Linked DNA regions of Drosophila melanogaster. The protein of the gene in region 2 interacts with the protein of the main gene of each other region in a pairwise test. Each region holds a gene or a part of one and is shown on either strand. Other genes may lie near its edges.

What was found.
Region 1: the proteins of CG7299 (region 2) and CG31249 interact in a two-hybrid assay, tested with the Drosophila melanogaster proteins (one large-scale study listed by BioGRID).

What each region holds. Positions count from the first base shown.
Region 1 is NT_033777.3:17,682,967-17,691,492, forward strand, and holds CG31249 (uncharacterized protein), read right to left. Parts: upstream 4,106-8,526; 5' UTR 4,000-4,105; coding exon 3,930-3,999; intron 3,872-3,929; coding exon 3,545-3,871; intron 3,396-3,544; coding exon 3,040-3,395; 3' UTR 2,723-3,039; downstream 1-2,722. Other genes in the region: CG7655 (uncharacterized protein), read left to right, coding at 1-149, 209-643; CG31251 (uncharacterized protein), read right to left, coding at 843-1,129, 1,189-1,721, 1,779-1,879; CG31360 (uncharacterized protein), read left to right, coding at 2,207-2,384, 2,447-2,565; osa, read right to left, coding at 6,852-8,526.
Region 2 is NT_033779.5:10,680,894-10,689,082, forward strand, and holds CG7299 (uncharacterized protein), read right to left. Parts: upstream 3,517-8,189; 5' UTR 3,480-3,516; coding exon 2,946-3,479; 3' UTR 2,534-2,945; downstream 1-2,533. Other genes in the region: CG17105 (uncharacterized protein), read left to right, coding at 154-465; CG17107 (uncharacterized protein), read left to right, coding at 1,098-1,388; CG7296 (uncharacterized protein), read right to left, coding at 5,569-6,054; CG7294 (uncharacterized protein), read right to left, coding at 7,920-8,189.

The DNA.
Region 1 (8,526 bases), on a different chromosome or scaffold from region 2:
CCGTGGTGTTCGATACCCTCTACCTGATCGGATTCATCTTCCAGCACAGCTTCCTCAAGTCAGCCGTGGTCAAGAAGCTGTTGGCCAAGTTGGGATTGTCGGGTGCGGAGCGCACTATTTATAGCCTGACGTCATCGCTTTGTTTACATGTTTGTATACCCACAAATTGGACAGAAATAGCTCCCAACTGCAACTTTGGACATTTCAGTATTTGATCGTCAACTGGCTGCCCGCTCAGTCGATTGTTCTGTGGCAAATCGATGTGGAGCAGAGTGCTCCGCTTTGGTGGACCTTCGTGATCACCCATGGCATCTGCTGGGTTGTCATCTTTGGCGGCAGTTTGGTGATGGATCTGCCAGAGCTGCTGGGCGTCAAGCAAGCCTACTACGATCTGAAGGCCTACGGACCGCCCATCAGCTACAAATCCGGGGAATTGCGCAATCTGTACGCCCATGTCAGACATCCCTCGTTTGTGGGCCTGTCGGTCATCCTGTTCGCCACGAATGTGATGAGCGTGGATCGGCTAGTCATGGCCTTGCTGCTGACCACCTACATGTACCTGGCCTGGTCCACAGATCAGAAGGATGTGGCCTATCAGAAGATTCAACTGCAGCGCAAGAAACTCGAACTGAAGGCCAAGTAAACTTAATCTCAAAAGTGTTCTTACTAAGATCTAGTTGTAAGTTGACATGAGTTTGTATTGAATAATACTTTTCTAACAATTTCAGTTTCCGAATCAGAACGAAACAAATAATGAAAAAACTAAAAGATATATAAAAATATATATGGTTCAGTTTTTACTATTTTACTACTATTGCTAGCTTAATTAATTATTTTAAAATTTAACTCATTCTTACGATAGAAGGATCAAAGGGCTGTCCTTTAAACGGCGAACCTTCGGCATCCCAGGCAGCTTTCAGGCGATCCAGGTTTATAGCTTGGTCGGGACTTGAGGTCTGAATTTCATTTTGTTGCTTGTCTGCTGCCAACTGCTGGACCCTAAGCTTTTCTATGGTGGCCTGGGTTTCCTCCGGCAAATCATCTATATAGCGTTCGCATTCAATCTTCTTGGAATCGATTTCTGGATCACCTTCGAAGAGCCGATCCCACCAGAGCTCCTTTGCTTTATCTACAGTTATATACAGTTTATGAAAATGGTTTATAAAGATGTTTTAGGTGAATGCCCACCGTAACTTATGATCAATCGGTTCTGATCAATTGTCCACACCGCCTCCTTGTGTTTAATCCGCTGGCTCAGGTTTCCCTCGAGGATGATCGTCTCTGGGCTATGCTTGCTGCTCACTTTGATGTGCTGGGCCTGAATTGAAATGTGCAGCTTCTTCGCCGTTTGATGATCCTTGGGAAGCAGAGCCTGCACCTCCACATCCTTGAGGGTTTGTGACCAGCAGTGCGTTTCGAACACATCTCCGTTTTTGTAGTCGCTGGGGGAGAACTTTGACTGCTCCTTCCCTTTTTGTGGCGGCTGGCTCTCTATGGGTTTCATTTCCTCGTCCTGAGGACCATCTTCGCTTTCCAGGACCACTTCTTCGACGGCAGGCGGAGCCGTTTCTCCATCATCTGCACCGCCTTCCGCGGTCAGGGATTGTAGCAAGCAATCCGGATCGTAGCGCTGCATGGCGCCATATAGAATCTGATCCCTCACGCCTTTGGGGAAGCCTATTTTATCCGCTTCATCGCGTTTTGTGTGATAAAAGTCGGTGCTAAAAAGGGAAGTGGGACTACAGTTTTGTTAAGGATCTTGAGATAAAATCTTTTACTTGCGTCGCAGAAATCCGAAAATGGAGTCCAGGAAACCTGTAATAGTTTTCCGATCCTGCAGAATTTCCATGAGCATAGCATCGTTTCGCTGAAAGTCCATTTTTGTAAGAATAGTAACCGGCCGCTTTTAACTTAACATCTAATGTTCACGTCTATCGATAACAATGCATTTAAATCGGCGATAGCTATTAAAAAGATAGATACATATTAAAGATTTTAGAGTGTGGTCAACATATATAATATTAATAGGAATCTAGTTCTATTAGAAAATAAGGTCAATAAAGCATTTGTTGATCGAATTAACAAAAAACCTAGTTTAGTTAACACAATCAAGTTGGCAGCCCTGCGACAAACTTGGTATATCGATAGTTGTCGCCTTATTTTCCAAATCCATTCCCAAATTGTTATTATTGAAATAATTTTAAAAATGATCGGTAGACTTTCTTTTTGGAACAAGGACAACGTTTCCAACGAGGTGGACTGCTTGGCCTGCCGTCTGGTCAGTGGCCTTGGACTCCTGGGAATTGGTGCCTTCCTATTGGCACAGTCGAAAAAAAGACAAGCGAAACCTCTGGAGAATTTCACTATGAAAGGCTTGGCTGCAGGTGAGCCACTTGGGATCTTAAATCCGGTCTTATGTTTACTCCTTTCTCCTTCGTCGCCATAGCCGTTGGAGTTCTGGGCGTGGCCCGCCTGGCAGACGCGAATTTCCTGAAGGCAACCGCCGAGAAGCCAAAAGAACAGGAAAATACTAGCACTGATCATCAGTTCTTTTCTAGACGTTAATTCAATGACGTTTTAATTATAATCGTAGAGTCACTTAATATATAAAGGTTAATGTTTTCTTTTGTACGACCATGTGGCATTACAATAATATAGCTGTAACCTTGTTTTTAGAATTTTTTCTATTTAAAATCGTTGAAAACAAAACCTTGTTTGCTTTAATGAATTTATGATTTATTTTAAATAAATTAATTACATAGGCATACACAATATTGCATCTTTTGAAAGAGGATCATAAATAAACATATGTTTGTATTAATAATAATATTATAAAATATCAACAGGATTCTTATTTTATAGCTTTCAAAAAAGGTGTTTGCTTGTTCATAGCTTGGCTGTTGATCTATCTATTGATTTCTGCTAAATGTTGTTGCTTGGCTTTAAAGGATATTTTATAGATGCAATTTTAAAACTTTTATGTTCTTTATGTCCTTTTATGTTATATTGTGTCGATTGCGTTCCTTTACTGTTAATCGTCTAGAATCCCACTTTCCCCAGCTTGGTATCAGTCTTTGGATTGGCCGTGATGTTCTGCACCGCCACAATGGTCTCATTGATGTGTGTCTGCAGCTCGCGTAGGCTCTGGATCTGGAGAAGACGTAGTATGCGCATGGGCAGGTCCAGGGCAGAGTCGTTGGACGAGACGACGTCGTTTCCCTTGTCAAAAGGGAAGGGTTTACCCACTACCGGCTTGCGATCCTTGGCGGCGGGCGAGAGGCGTTCGTGCACCACGCGAGCGATAGCCTCCAGCTGCAACAGATGGTTCGGGTGGTGCGGCACATTCAGTTTGCTGGCCAGCAGCCGGACTCCATCCACGAACGCTTTTTCCTGAGCTGGTGGGAAGAAAGAATTAATACTTGTTGTACTTTACCTGATTATCATCTATAGATAATAAAAGTGGTTTTTGGAACCTCTTAAAAAATCCATAATATATAAATTTAAAGTTCCTTAAATGGTAAATTTAGTTAAAATCAGACCATACTATTAATATTTCCATCGAAAATAGCCTGGACCCTTTGTTGGGACTGCTTGCCATTGCTTTGGGGTGGCACCTGTTTGGTGTTAATCGAGGCAAACTGATCAGGATCATCGAGGAAGTCCAGGCGCACAGCATAGCTGACAATCCAGGCCAGCTGCTCCTGCCGCGTCTCCAGGGGCGGCATGCTCAAATCGGCACAGTACTTTAAGTAACCCTCCTTCCAGATCTCAGGGTTGTCGACAGTGCGCAGCTTACAGCGATCCTCTATGGAGTAAAGCCGGATCTTCTGGTCCTCCAACCAGAGGACTGTGTTGGCGAATTCCTTGCGGTCTGCGGAACGAAAAGAATGGGATGACTTATAGCCCCATCAGGAAAACTAGACAATTACCGCTCATCACCACCGGGATGTCAACATCGGGACGACCCAGTACCTCGAGTTTCATCTTGAGCGACAGCATGCTTTCAACGGATTACTATACAAAAATCGATTCGCTCTGTTAATTTACAAAAAATGTTACAGCCGGCTGTGCTTATTCTTATCGCCCAAATTTAAGGGATGGAACATTAAACGAGAGGACTTATCGACGTAGAAATTGGGCTGCCAACTTGCTGTGATAAAGCTGTTCGAATTTAATAATCTCGAAAAAGTATCGATATATAATTTTTAAATCAAATATTTTGTAAGAAACTACTTACTGTCAAAAAGTATTTTTTCCGATAATTATTTTTTTGCACATCATATTATTCAATTAATTGAAGAACTATTAATACAATTTTAAAGCTCTTCATTGACCGATTAAAATTGTCAATTAATTAAAAAAGTCAAATTTATCCCGGAACACGCGAATTCTTAATATTAATGTAAGTTCTTTTAAAATTGATTTTTGAAATTGTAAATTTGAACAAATTGACATTGTAAATACAATGCACAAATTCCCAATCGAGTAACATCGACCTCAATGCTGAAAGTACAGCCTAATAACAGACAAAAGATCTTGTTACTAGACATTTTTGAAAACCTAGACATGGTATTTAGGTGCTCAATTGCATATTATCTCGAATATACATTTATATAATAATCTTTCGCTCAACAGTGAATGTCCTACGCTGAACAGAAGCAATATAGTTTATAATAATATAATAAGAAATATTTTGGGAATGCGTTACCATAGGATTCATCAATCTGACCAATTGATTTGCACTGAAAAAATCGAAATGAGTTCTAAAAAGTATTTCCCCGCCAAAAAATATTTTTCCCTTATCAGCGATAAGAAACGACAAGTACAAAGGCTGTATTGTATATCATATATGTATGTATATTAATTAAATAATTAAATTAAGTTTGAGGGACATACATTTACATCCTAGCAAATTATAGACTAATAACTACACGTTATATATCGAGATGCTGAGTTATAATATTTGTTTGCAAACAACTACACGAATACACGTATCAACAGCAGCAGTTTCCTATTATCTCCCAATATCTTGCAGTTCCTCTGGATCCAGAGGATCGCCACCGGAAACCGGAAGGACCTCTAGACTTGCTCATGCCAGAATCTGGAGACATTTCATTTTCGATCTCTTATGTAGCACGTTAATTATGTGTGAGAAAGTTTAGTATACAAATTGGTGCACCCACCCATGTATGGTTTTGCATTAATTGTTTATTGGTTTCCTAACGCCAAGCATTTTGGGTGTGGGTGTGGATGTGTGGTTATTAGTCCTTTTTGCGTGCTTCTCTACAGCTTTAGTTCGATTTGCTTCGCTTTGTGTTTTATAGCATTTTATGGTTTCGTTTTGTTTTGCTTTGTTTTCTTGGTTTTATTTGTTTTGCATTTTAAATTAAGATTAAGATAAAAACCTAATTATTTATCTTGTCATTTACGCCTTAAGTAAGTTCGATATAAAATAAAACGAAGCAGCAGCACTTCCAGCAAATAATACAGTTAACATAAGATTACAGCATTAGGGTTTCATTTTTTCGATTTTTCATGTTTCGTTTATATTAATTATGTATGTATATGTTATGTATTTTTATATATTATATCACCTAATTTGATTTCAATTTAAATTGTTTGCTTGCCTTCATCTGAGGGTTTTTCATTTTTGCTTGTTTGCTTGTTTCTCTCGCTTAATTTCATTTCCATTCGCCTCCGAGTTATGCGATTAAAACTAAGAAGTTGGAATTTTCGCAGCCCATCAATACATCATACAACATCATACACATAAACATAATACAAAATGCAGTGCTGCCACTTACATGTGCCTTGTAACATTGCGTAAAAACAAAAATACAGTGAAATTTACATAATAGTTAAGTATGTACAATGGTTTTTAGTCATCTCTAAGGATTCGTCCTTCTGCAACATTTAGACCACATTGAATCCAATAAACTGCCTTATATACGTGTTGCTTTTAAATATTTCCGCGTGAACTTTGGTGTTCGTTCAGTTCGATCAGTTTATGAGTTCCTATGCTGCACATTGTGGTAATATGTAGGTATTAGTAAGTGGTAGAATTTAAAAACTATCCTCTATGTATTTATATATCAATGTCTAGATGTACGTATGTATGCATTCATCCCTTTTACATACACAATTCATTCTCATGTAATTTAATGTTAGTTTATGCATTTATTTATATATATATTTAATATACGATAAACCGTAGCGTGCGTATGCATATGTATGTGTTAGTTATTCCTCCTCGCTCGTCGCTTCATTTTTATTAAATTTAGTACAATAAGTATGCTGTGTGCTTGAATTTCGCTCTTAACTTTGTTATCCTCCGTTTCCTATCTTCACGTTCGACTCAATAATAATCCCCGATCCTATAACTCGATCGGTTAGTATCAGTGGTTCTGCTCCGAACAGTTTCCTTTTCGAATGATCATAACTATGCTGCTTCAATTTCTTAATGCTTAGGGTTTAGGTTTAGTTATCATATTTACTATTTTTAGATTTGAGTGAAAAAATATACAGTTGTTATTGTATTGACTGTTACAGTGATGGATTGGCGAGCCATTCCATCGCAGATACATTGCAGGCGCTGCACCTGCTGAGTTCCCGTTTACGTATCCTTAGAGTTCGGACACGAGTTCTCGCACATCGTGACTCTCTCTCTCTCTCTTGGCGCCATACTTAAGTAAATTTACATGCCCACCCCACATGGATGCAGGTATCATCTTCTGGTCTTGCACTTCGGAGTTGCTCCTGGGCCCGCTGTTCAACCACCGAACGCCAGCTTAGTCGACTGCCCCTCGCGGGGTTCGTGGCCAGTAGTAGGACGCTGGCATCATTGTCGTATACTACGCAACGGCTGTCGTTGTTCCTGCATTGGTTGGTGGAGGTGCCGCTGGTTGAGCGACCGCTGCTCCGGCGGACACGCTCGACGATGTGGGCGGACCAACGGAAGCAGCTGCCGCCGCCGCAGCTGCTGCTGCCGCTGCACTGGCATTGCTTAAAGCCGCAGCAGCGGCCGCAGCTGCAGCCACCTTGCTCACCTGCTGCTGATCGCTGGCAATCGCTGCTGCTGTCGCTGATCCTGCTCCTGTTGCGGCTGCTGATGGAGCGGCTACCGTGATCGCCGATTGGCTGCTGATTGCACTGCTACTGTGGCTGCTGTTGGTGGTGCTGTTGTTCGTCTGGTTGCTGCTGGCCGTACCGCAGCTGTTGCTGTTGGTGCTGCTGTTGCTGACGTCGTTGAACGTCGCTGCCGGCGGCAACTGCTGGCTACTGTTGCTGTTCTCATCGTTGACCACTGCCGTAGTGGCTGCTGGTGCGGGCTTCGCTTCAGTGGAACTCGTTTCCGTCGATGCAGTCTCCGCTTTTACTGTCGCACTTCCTCCTGCACTGGCTGCTTGCTTCCCTGCAGGACCAGGTCGCAGCTGTTGTTGTTGCCGCTGCTGCAGCAGACGGAACTCCACGGAGTGAATAGGCCCTGTTCCTCGCGACACTTGGTAAAGAACACGCGAAATAATCAGAGCCACCTGTTGGTCCAGGATGTGCGACATGACCAGACCAAGCAGCCGCTGTTCTTGTTGCATGAACAGCGACCGGTTATCCGGATGCTTGGCCAGATGGAGCAGGGTGCCGGCTGCTCTCCGCAGCATGTCCAGGCTGGTGCCCATCGAGTCAGGATTCTCGCGCAGGTAGTTGATTCCGTGCTGGTTCGCCACGCCTAGCGCCGTCTGTTCGGCCTGCTCGATGAAGGCCACCAGGTATGAGATGCACGGAGACTGAAGCGCCACGGTCCGAGCCATGGCGCTGTCAGCAGCTGCAAGGTAGTGCAGCAGGTTCACAGAGAACTCTCGCAGCACCTGATCTTCGTTGCGGCACAGATGTCGGGTGAGCACGGCGCACAGCTTTTCCAGACGCGAGAATGGTGGAGTGGCAATGACGAGGTCAACATTGGCGTCCGTCACGCACAGCTTGCAAAGTGCCTCGAGTGCCAGTCGTTGTGGCGAGAGAACACTATTGGGTCCGCATGACGGGAACGGATCCTGTCCATGAGCACTCGGGCATACGGCCCAGTGCAGCAGGCCGTCGATCAAGGGGCGGGCAATTAGCTCATCGTAGCGCGACAGCTCCAAGTGTCCAGCAATGTTGGCCATGGCAACAAGCATATTCTCCCGAATGGTAATCAGATAGTCCCACCACCATTCACGTTCGCCCTGCAGCGAACTGCACGAGTCACTGAAGTCCGTATCCTCCTCGCGATCGTAGTTTCGCGTCTTCGGTGTGCGCCGCAAGTGCTCGTGGTTCAGGAGCAGCAGTCGACCAAGTACCGCCAGAAATCTGGTAGACTTGGCCAGCACCGTCTCGTTGCCGGGCACAAATGTCAGGTTGCGGAAGATATTGGAGAGAGCGATGCAGCGCCGCGCTAACGAGTCTTGGCTCTCGCTGACCAGGTGGAGCGACGCCTCATCTCGTGTGTAGCACTCATCCTCAAAGCTGGAGTCACGCCTTCGCTGAAGCACCCGC
Region 2 (8,189 bases):
GTTACAGCCGAAAACTATGCCACTTATATATTTAAGCTCTAGTTAACCATTGTTAACAAGTTAAGTAGACTTATTTTTGCTTTCTTTGTTTCATTATGGAAATTAAGTTGTCATACGAAAAAAAAAAAACACAGGATAGTGGGACATCCCACGATGAAATTATATGCACTCTGCGCTATCCTGCTCCTTGCCATTGTGGCAGTCCAAGGATATCCTGGTATACACGGTGGCTTTGGACACGGAGGACACGGTGGACTCAGTGGCTTGGGAGGACTTGGCGGCTTAGGAGGACGCGTTGGTTTCGGAGGACCCGGTGGCTATGGAGGACCCGGTGGCTACGGAGGACTCGGTGGCTACGGCGGACCCGGTAGCTACGGCGGTGGTGGTGGAGGCGCAGTAGCCACTGCCAACGCTAATGCAAACGCAAACTCAGTTGGTTACAGTCCGGGTGCTTACTACGGATAAGGAATGATGATAACAGCAGTCCAGAAACGGCAATTGCTTTAAAAAATAAACAAATGCATAATTATTGCATAAAGACTAAGACATTTTTCTATTATTACTTTTGCCAAACGTTATCAACACAATGGCCTTACCTTCTATGTATAATATACTATAAATATAAATTTATTAATTTTTAATTATTATTTATTAAGTGAAGAATATATATATAATTTTCGGGTTCAAAAGTTGTAATCACCGGAAAAGGAATTTTGTATAAAATGTGTAAACAGAAGCAAATCTAAGGACTTACATGATAAACTAGTTTTTATAGCTGATTATCATAATGAATTTATCTGAGCTTTTTTACAGCCTGAAAATATACTTTACCAAAACATGGCTTGCCAAAGCTAACCAGTTTTCAATTATTGATAACATAGTATATAAGCATATACTATACATATAGGTAATATTAAACGTCATGCGTTTTTAATATATGTCTAATTAATGTGCTAATCGAAGCCCCCATATATATGCCGATACAATATCGATTCTGTGATTTTTTTTGTTTTTCAGATAAACAAGTCGTCCACCTGTCACGGATGCTGGTATAAAAGAGGCCAGCACGCGATCACAAAACATCGCAATCTCTAACGATGAAGTTCCTGGCTATCTGCATTTTTCTAATCTTCGCCCTGGTGGCCGTTCAGGCACATCCTGGTGGATTCGGCGGATTCGGTGGAGGCGGTGGTGGCGGTGGTCGCGGTGGAGGCGGTGGAGGCGGTGGAGTCGGTGGAGTCGGCGGTTCGAACGCAGTTGCCAACGCGAATGCCGCTGCAACCGCCGACAGCAGAGGAGGCGGCCCAGCTTCCGCCTCGGCCTCGGCCACTGCAACCGCCAACGCCAGCTCCGGAGGAGGTGGAGGTGGACATGGCAGACATGGATAGGCTCGAAACGGATTCATAACTGTACTCTCGAAAAGTGGGCACGTCCGCTGACAGACCTACTAAACTGAAACCAATACCAATACCAATAAATATTAAAATGCTAATTCTGTTTTTGGAAATCCAAGATGTTGTTTTCGTATATTAGGTTAATAACCAGTTTATGAGTCGGGCATTATTTATAGATCTAATGACGTCAAACAAGATTTCTCTAGCCTCCTAAAAACAGACTAAGTTAACAGCGGGAGCTAATATTAGAAACTATGTTTTAAAATGTATCTAACAACTTGAATTACAACTGAAAAGTATGCATTATATATATATAGTTTTTGCAAATAGTTAGTGCATCTCAATTTTAATTTAATTTATTTTTATATTTAAAATCATTAAGCTCATTTCATTCATCATTTGTTTGTACAGCTTACCCGGAAATCCAAACAATTTGTGAGTTTTTTTTTTTTGTGTGATTACTTTTTTTATGTAATTAAGTAATTGCATTTGCCACCCACAACAAGTCTTGAATTTGGCCACTTACGGAGTGACACACTCAATTTCAGCAGGTCTAATAAATCGAAGATATTTTTTCACAAATGAAGTCCGACGTCTCTTGATATATTGTCAAGCTTCTTAAAACTCGGGTTTGCAATATTTAAATTTGCAAATTATCAACATCTGGATAAGTTTCTACGTTTACGGTAGCCAAACCTTTCCGAAATAAAACTAGTTTTATACCCCTTAATCGTACAGTAATAGGGTATGCTAGGCTTATTAGAATGTATGAAACAGATAGAAGGAGCATTTTCAATCTATATTGCATTCAGATTTTAGGGACGTTGCACTTTTGAAAAATGCTTTTGATATTTTTTTGTTTAATTACCATTTTTTCCTATCTATTGATGTGCCAAATGAACTAGTTGAGTAACGGGTATCAGATAGTCGAGGAACTCGGCTATAGCGTTTTTTCTAGTTTTTAATTCTAGCTAAATTATCTACATATTATTATCATAGTTAATTTTTGCACTAATCAAAGCACACAGTCTGCATATCAATGATGTTTTCGAAATGTCTGTTCTTTTCTGTTGCTCTAGAAAGTGGAACACACATTATAATTATAATTTGTAAATCTAAAGAGTAAAATATTTTTCTTTGTTTATTCCAAAAAGACTACAAACATTTTTACAAAATACGCTTTCAATGTATGAATTGTAATTTTATCAGCCTAGAACAATTTTGCGACTGAATCATTTCATTTATATTTTCATAATAGAAATGCATAAATTCGAAATAAAATATTATCAAAATATTCTTGACAAAGCATTCCCCTGGAAAAAAAAATGTAATTGGATGTGTGCAAAAATGCACATGTTCTTTTTATGCACATTCAATTTAGTGGATCTATACTTAAAAAGGATTCTGTGTTAGTTTTCCTTGTTTGCATGGACCTCATTACTGTGATGACATGCCTTTCAAGAATTACAAATGTTCATAGTTTTGTGTTTTTTATTTTTATTTTTATAAATATTAAAAATCTACTCAGTGAATAAATTCGGATCTGTTGGCTTATTTGCGGAATGCGTTGGCGACGGCATTGGCGTTAGCATTAGCACTGCCACCTCGGGTGTTGGCATTGGCATTGGCGTTTGCATTGGCATTACCACCGCCAAATCCTCCGTCAGAGTTGGCGACAGCATTGGCATTGGCGTTAGCTTCGGAGTTACCACCGAATCCTCCTGGTCCTCCTGGTCCTCCGAATCCTCCTGGTCCTCCGAATCCACCCTGTCCTCCGAATCCACCCTGTCCTCCGAATCCACCCTGTCCGCCGAATCCACCTTGTCCTTCAAAGCCACCTGGTCCTCCGAATCCACCTTGTCCTGGCCCTCCGAATCCACCCTGTCCTCCGAATCCAGGGCCTCGTTCCCCGAATCCTCCTCCGAATCCGCCTTCCTTCTGGAAACCAGGTCCGCTGAATCCTGGTCTTCCACCGCCCTCACTCTCAGCATTTGCGTTGGCATTTGCGTTAGCATTGCCATTATTAAACTGCGGGGCGGCACTGGACACGGCCAGGATTACGGCGAGAACGACAAAGACCTTCATGGTGATCTGCTTGATCGGAGTGACTGAACAAACTTAATGGCCAATGCCCCAGGGCCTGGTTTTTATAGTGGCCAGACGGCAGGCAGACGCAAACAAACAAAAAAAAATAAAAAAAAAAAACAATAATCTAATCTAGCCTCCGCTTTCGGATAAAAATTAGCATGCAAACAATAGTCACTGCCGAAAAATAATTTCAATATTATCGGAGATCACAGATAGATTCCCCCGATCTGGACAGCGCTCCAGAGTGGGACGGATAGCGAGTGAAAGAGTCAGATAGTGCTCTGATCGAATGCAATGGTTTAAGGAAAGTTTGCAAATGTCTTTAGACCAACACGAGCCGTGTTCGTGGTGGTTTACTAAGGAACCGGTTTGATGATATCAATATTTAAACGATTATTGATATTTGTGTTTATATTTCATTAAGCCAGTATATTTCTTACTTTCGGCACTATCATCGCATCGCTTTCAGACGGAAACGACATAGAAGCAGTTAATTGTCAGGGAATTCTCTTTATTAGCTATTAGCTATTAACACTAGAATGTGTTATATGTTTGTTTTTTTTTTTTTTATCAGCATAGATATAGAAGCAAAGTGGTTCCTGAAATCTAAATCTACCTTAATATAGAAGCGTTATTACATGATCATTGTGAAAAGAACCGTTTCAGAATCCTTAGCGGTATTAGTCCAATGATAATCAAATTGGAATCAACAAATTTGGCAAGCTTAAAAACATTACCCTAATATATTTAAATATTTTCGGTCGCTTACTACCAATATATTCTTACAAAGTCGCACATGTGGTTTTAATTAACACTTTTCTATGAGTTTCCTTGTTCTGCTATAAATCCAAAATTATTCCATATTTGGAAGCAAACCCACATCTGGTTCTTATCAATATTTTTGTAATTTACCGGCAACCGTTCAAGCCCCTATAAAATTTACATATTTTTTAGCGATGAATATATGTATGTTTGTATTCAACTTCATTTACGCGAAATAAAAATGATAATTTAAACTGCGGACGTGCGGATAGTCGAGTCAGATCTAACAAGAAAGGAAGCTCAGCCGAAGCTTATATACCCTTCTACTACGTGTATTTATTTGTTTATCTATATAAATTTAAATATGTACATATATATTTAAAAAATACGGATGCTTACCGAGTTACAACATTGAAACTATGATTTCTTTTTTATTATTTTCGAATAATTTTCCAAGGCAGTTGTGGTCGTTCGATTTTTACTAAGCAAAATACAAAGTTATTGTACTCAAATACGAATTTACACCGAATAAGAGTGTTTTTTATGATCAAGCGAAAAATTGTTTGCCGATCCGGTTCGTTCCGAGTTATATGCTACCCTATATTAGAAAAAAGCTTTTGGGGAAGATTCATGCAGATAGCTTCAAACCTAAGGGGCTCATTTGCATAAAAACAAACAGAATGATCAAGAATTTAAACATGTATATACTTCTTTTGGTCGCAAATGTGTCTGGCAAACTTCTGGATATAATCGAGATGCCCTCTGAAAGCGTATAAAAAGTCAACCAGTGTTTTGTCAATTTCCAATGCCTGACAAAAGCTTCTTGCTATATATTTGAACCAAGATTTTATAACTCTCTTGTACTACTGATTCATAAAATAATATCAAATTTTTCCAGTTCTTAAGAACTGTGTTTTAAAATGTATTAATGTTAGATTAGATTTTCATTATTTGTGTCTTAAAATTAAATTGGTTTTCGTAAACTTAAAATATAATTCAAAGATTTTAGCAATGATCTTTTGTATAAGCACGCCTACAAGAGCCAAAAATATAACATCTCCTTTCAATAAATGCGTTTAAAATTTGTCGTTAGTTTTCTAGCAAATAGTTCAACTTTTTTTATTTCTCACTCCGCGTCTATTCGACTATTGCTACTGTTGAATTTTTAGCTTAACACGTTTACCTATAATATGTTTACAAATAACTCCTTAATGATAAAAATGATTGAATGACAAATACTTGTATATAATTTTAATTTATTTAGGTTTTATTCACAGTCATTTCTTATCGCTTAACTCCAAATACCAGTATAGTTTGGATCGGTCTAACCGTACAGTCCACCTCCGGAGGCATTGGCGGATGACGATGCAGAAGCGGATCCAGCGCCACCACGTCCGCCACCACTAGCCGATGCCGAGGAAGAGGCTGAGGCCGCAGATGAGCCACCGACTGCAGGACGTCCACCACCGAATCCTGAGCCACCACCAAATCCAGGACCTCCACCAAATCCACCGCCGAATCCTGGGCCACCGCCGAATCCTGGGCGACCGCCGAAACCTTGGCCACCGCCGAAACCTGGGCCACCGCCGAATCCTGGGCCACCGCCAAAGCCTGGGCGACCGCCGAAACCTGGGCCACCGCCGAAACCTGGGCCACCGCCAAACCCTGGGCCACCGCCGAATCCAGGACGACCTCCAAGGCCGCCCTGGGCATTGGCATTAGCATTCGCGTTGGCGTTGGCGTTTCCGCCGAATTGAGGCAGGGCCGATGCCACAGCCACCAGAACAGAGAGCGCGATGAAAAGTTTCATGTTGAGTTGTTGCTTCCTCGAAGGTGATCCAAACACTTGTCCAATGCACCGCCGGACCCGGCTTTTATTCCGTTGCCCGTTGGCGAATAGATTCGTTGACTGCTCGGTGATCTACCCTGGAGCTCACTCTCCTAAGCGGCAAAAGTAGATAGAAATGAGAAAAAGAGAAAAAACAGAACAAATTATCAATATTTATGGCTCAACTCATTAGCAAGTTCGGAGCGTACGACCGTCGGACCCTACACACAATAAACCCGGTCTGCTCGATCTCCCGCTGCAACCGGTTAGTCCCAATCTCGGTAGCACCTGAGACGCGCCCCCTAATCTATACATCCACTGGAGAGGCAGCATAACGATGGGCTTGATACCAGTGATGTCATGGACCGAGTAGTTAATGGAGCTTAATGGAGGGTGACGAAAAATACATCTTATCGAGGGGGGCCAATATTGAAAATCAGCGCAGGTAGATTTCGAACAAGGGGAATTCTAGTCAGATGATCCGAAATAGATGTCGCATTAAATGCTAGTCAAAATCTATATATTTATCCTCGGAACATAGAAAAATGTAATTACTTATTGTTTAGCCATTTAAAAATATGTAAATAATAATATTAAGCAGTAAACGTAAAACAGTTTACCATAGATATTATAGATATTAGATAGAGGTAGATCTTATTAGCGGTAACTGGTTAGATATTAGTACAGTCATCAAATTAAATTAATAAATAAAAATAATGAACTAGTTCTCTTTGAGCATCTCTGTGCCGCTATTAATTAAGTATCACAAACATATCAAAAACAGTTGACTGATTTTACTGTTCGCCATAATAAATGCAAATTTTTTGTTGCCTTTCTGCCACCTGTTTAGCTTTAAACTTTTTCGCGTCGCGCAGATTTTTAATTGTTTGTTTATTTAAGCCTTTTAAAGCCGAATATAATTGAAAACGTTATAAAAACGTGTATTTGGCTAAATTCTAAACGTTAATTATTCAAATTAATACACGAGAGTCATCATCATGTCAGGAGAAAAACAACATCCCAAAAGCATTAGAAATTCAAATGAATCGAGTTGATTAATTTTGTTTGATCGGCGTGGGGGCTACGAAAGAGCTATCATCGAAAGAGTGGACCAACCAAACGGGGAGTCCCAATTGAAAGTGTGCCAAGTAATGTTATGTGATTCACACAGCCATATAAAAATGCAAAAGGGTGCTCAAAAGCCTCCTACATACGATGCCCGCATCACTGGCCATCTATGTCAGAACTTTGACAATTGAATGTGCAACTATTTTTATTTATCCTCCCGACTTATATGTATAAGCCAACGGCAATTTTATGCAGATTAGTACTCATCGGATGAGAAATCGAACCATATTGTGCACTGCACAAGTTTGAGGAGGGTAAAATTCAAAAACAAAAAAAGTAAGAGTACGGTAAGGTAAGTACTCTCACTAAAATGATTAGAAGTAATAAATCTTTTAATCTGCTCACAAATCTATCCCAAATTATTATACTAAAAATATAATTTCTTATAATAGCCAACCCTCGACCGTAGAATAATCATTCACTTCGCTGATAAGACTTAAAATCAATTAGATTGCTTATAAGATTTAAAATAAAAATTACATTACACATAGAACTCGACAGATAAATATTTTTCGCTTTTAGCGAAATGTGTAAATATTTGTTAATTAAAAACTGCACATAAATCCGTTTATTGAACCTTAATAATTTCTGAAGAGATAAATTATTGATTTTTTTTTAATTTCAAAATAATGCTTTTTGTGGGTTTTAAAATTTTTTTATTTCAGACTTTTTTAACATTAACAATAACTTAACTTCTAGATAATCCGCTCTCTGGCAGCTTATCCGTAGAAACCACCACCGCTTGCGGAGGCGGATGAAGAGGCGGATGAGGAGGCCGCTCCGCCACCACCACCAGCTGCAGAGGCTGACGAAGATGCGGAGGCAGAGGCAGCACCACCGCCACCACCGCGTCCACCGCCATGACGCCTGCCACCGCCGAATCCGCCGCCATAGGGATTACCGAATCCCCCGCCGTATGGACCACCTCCGAAACCGCCGCCATAAGGACCACCGCCAAAGCCGCCGCCATATGGACCACCGCCAAAGCC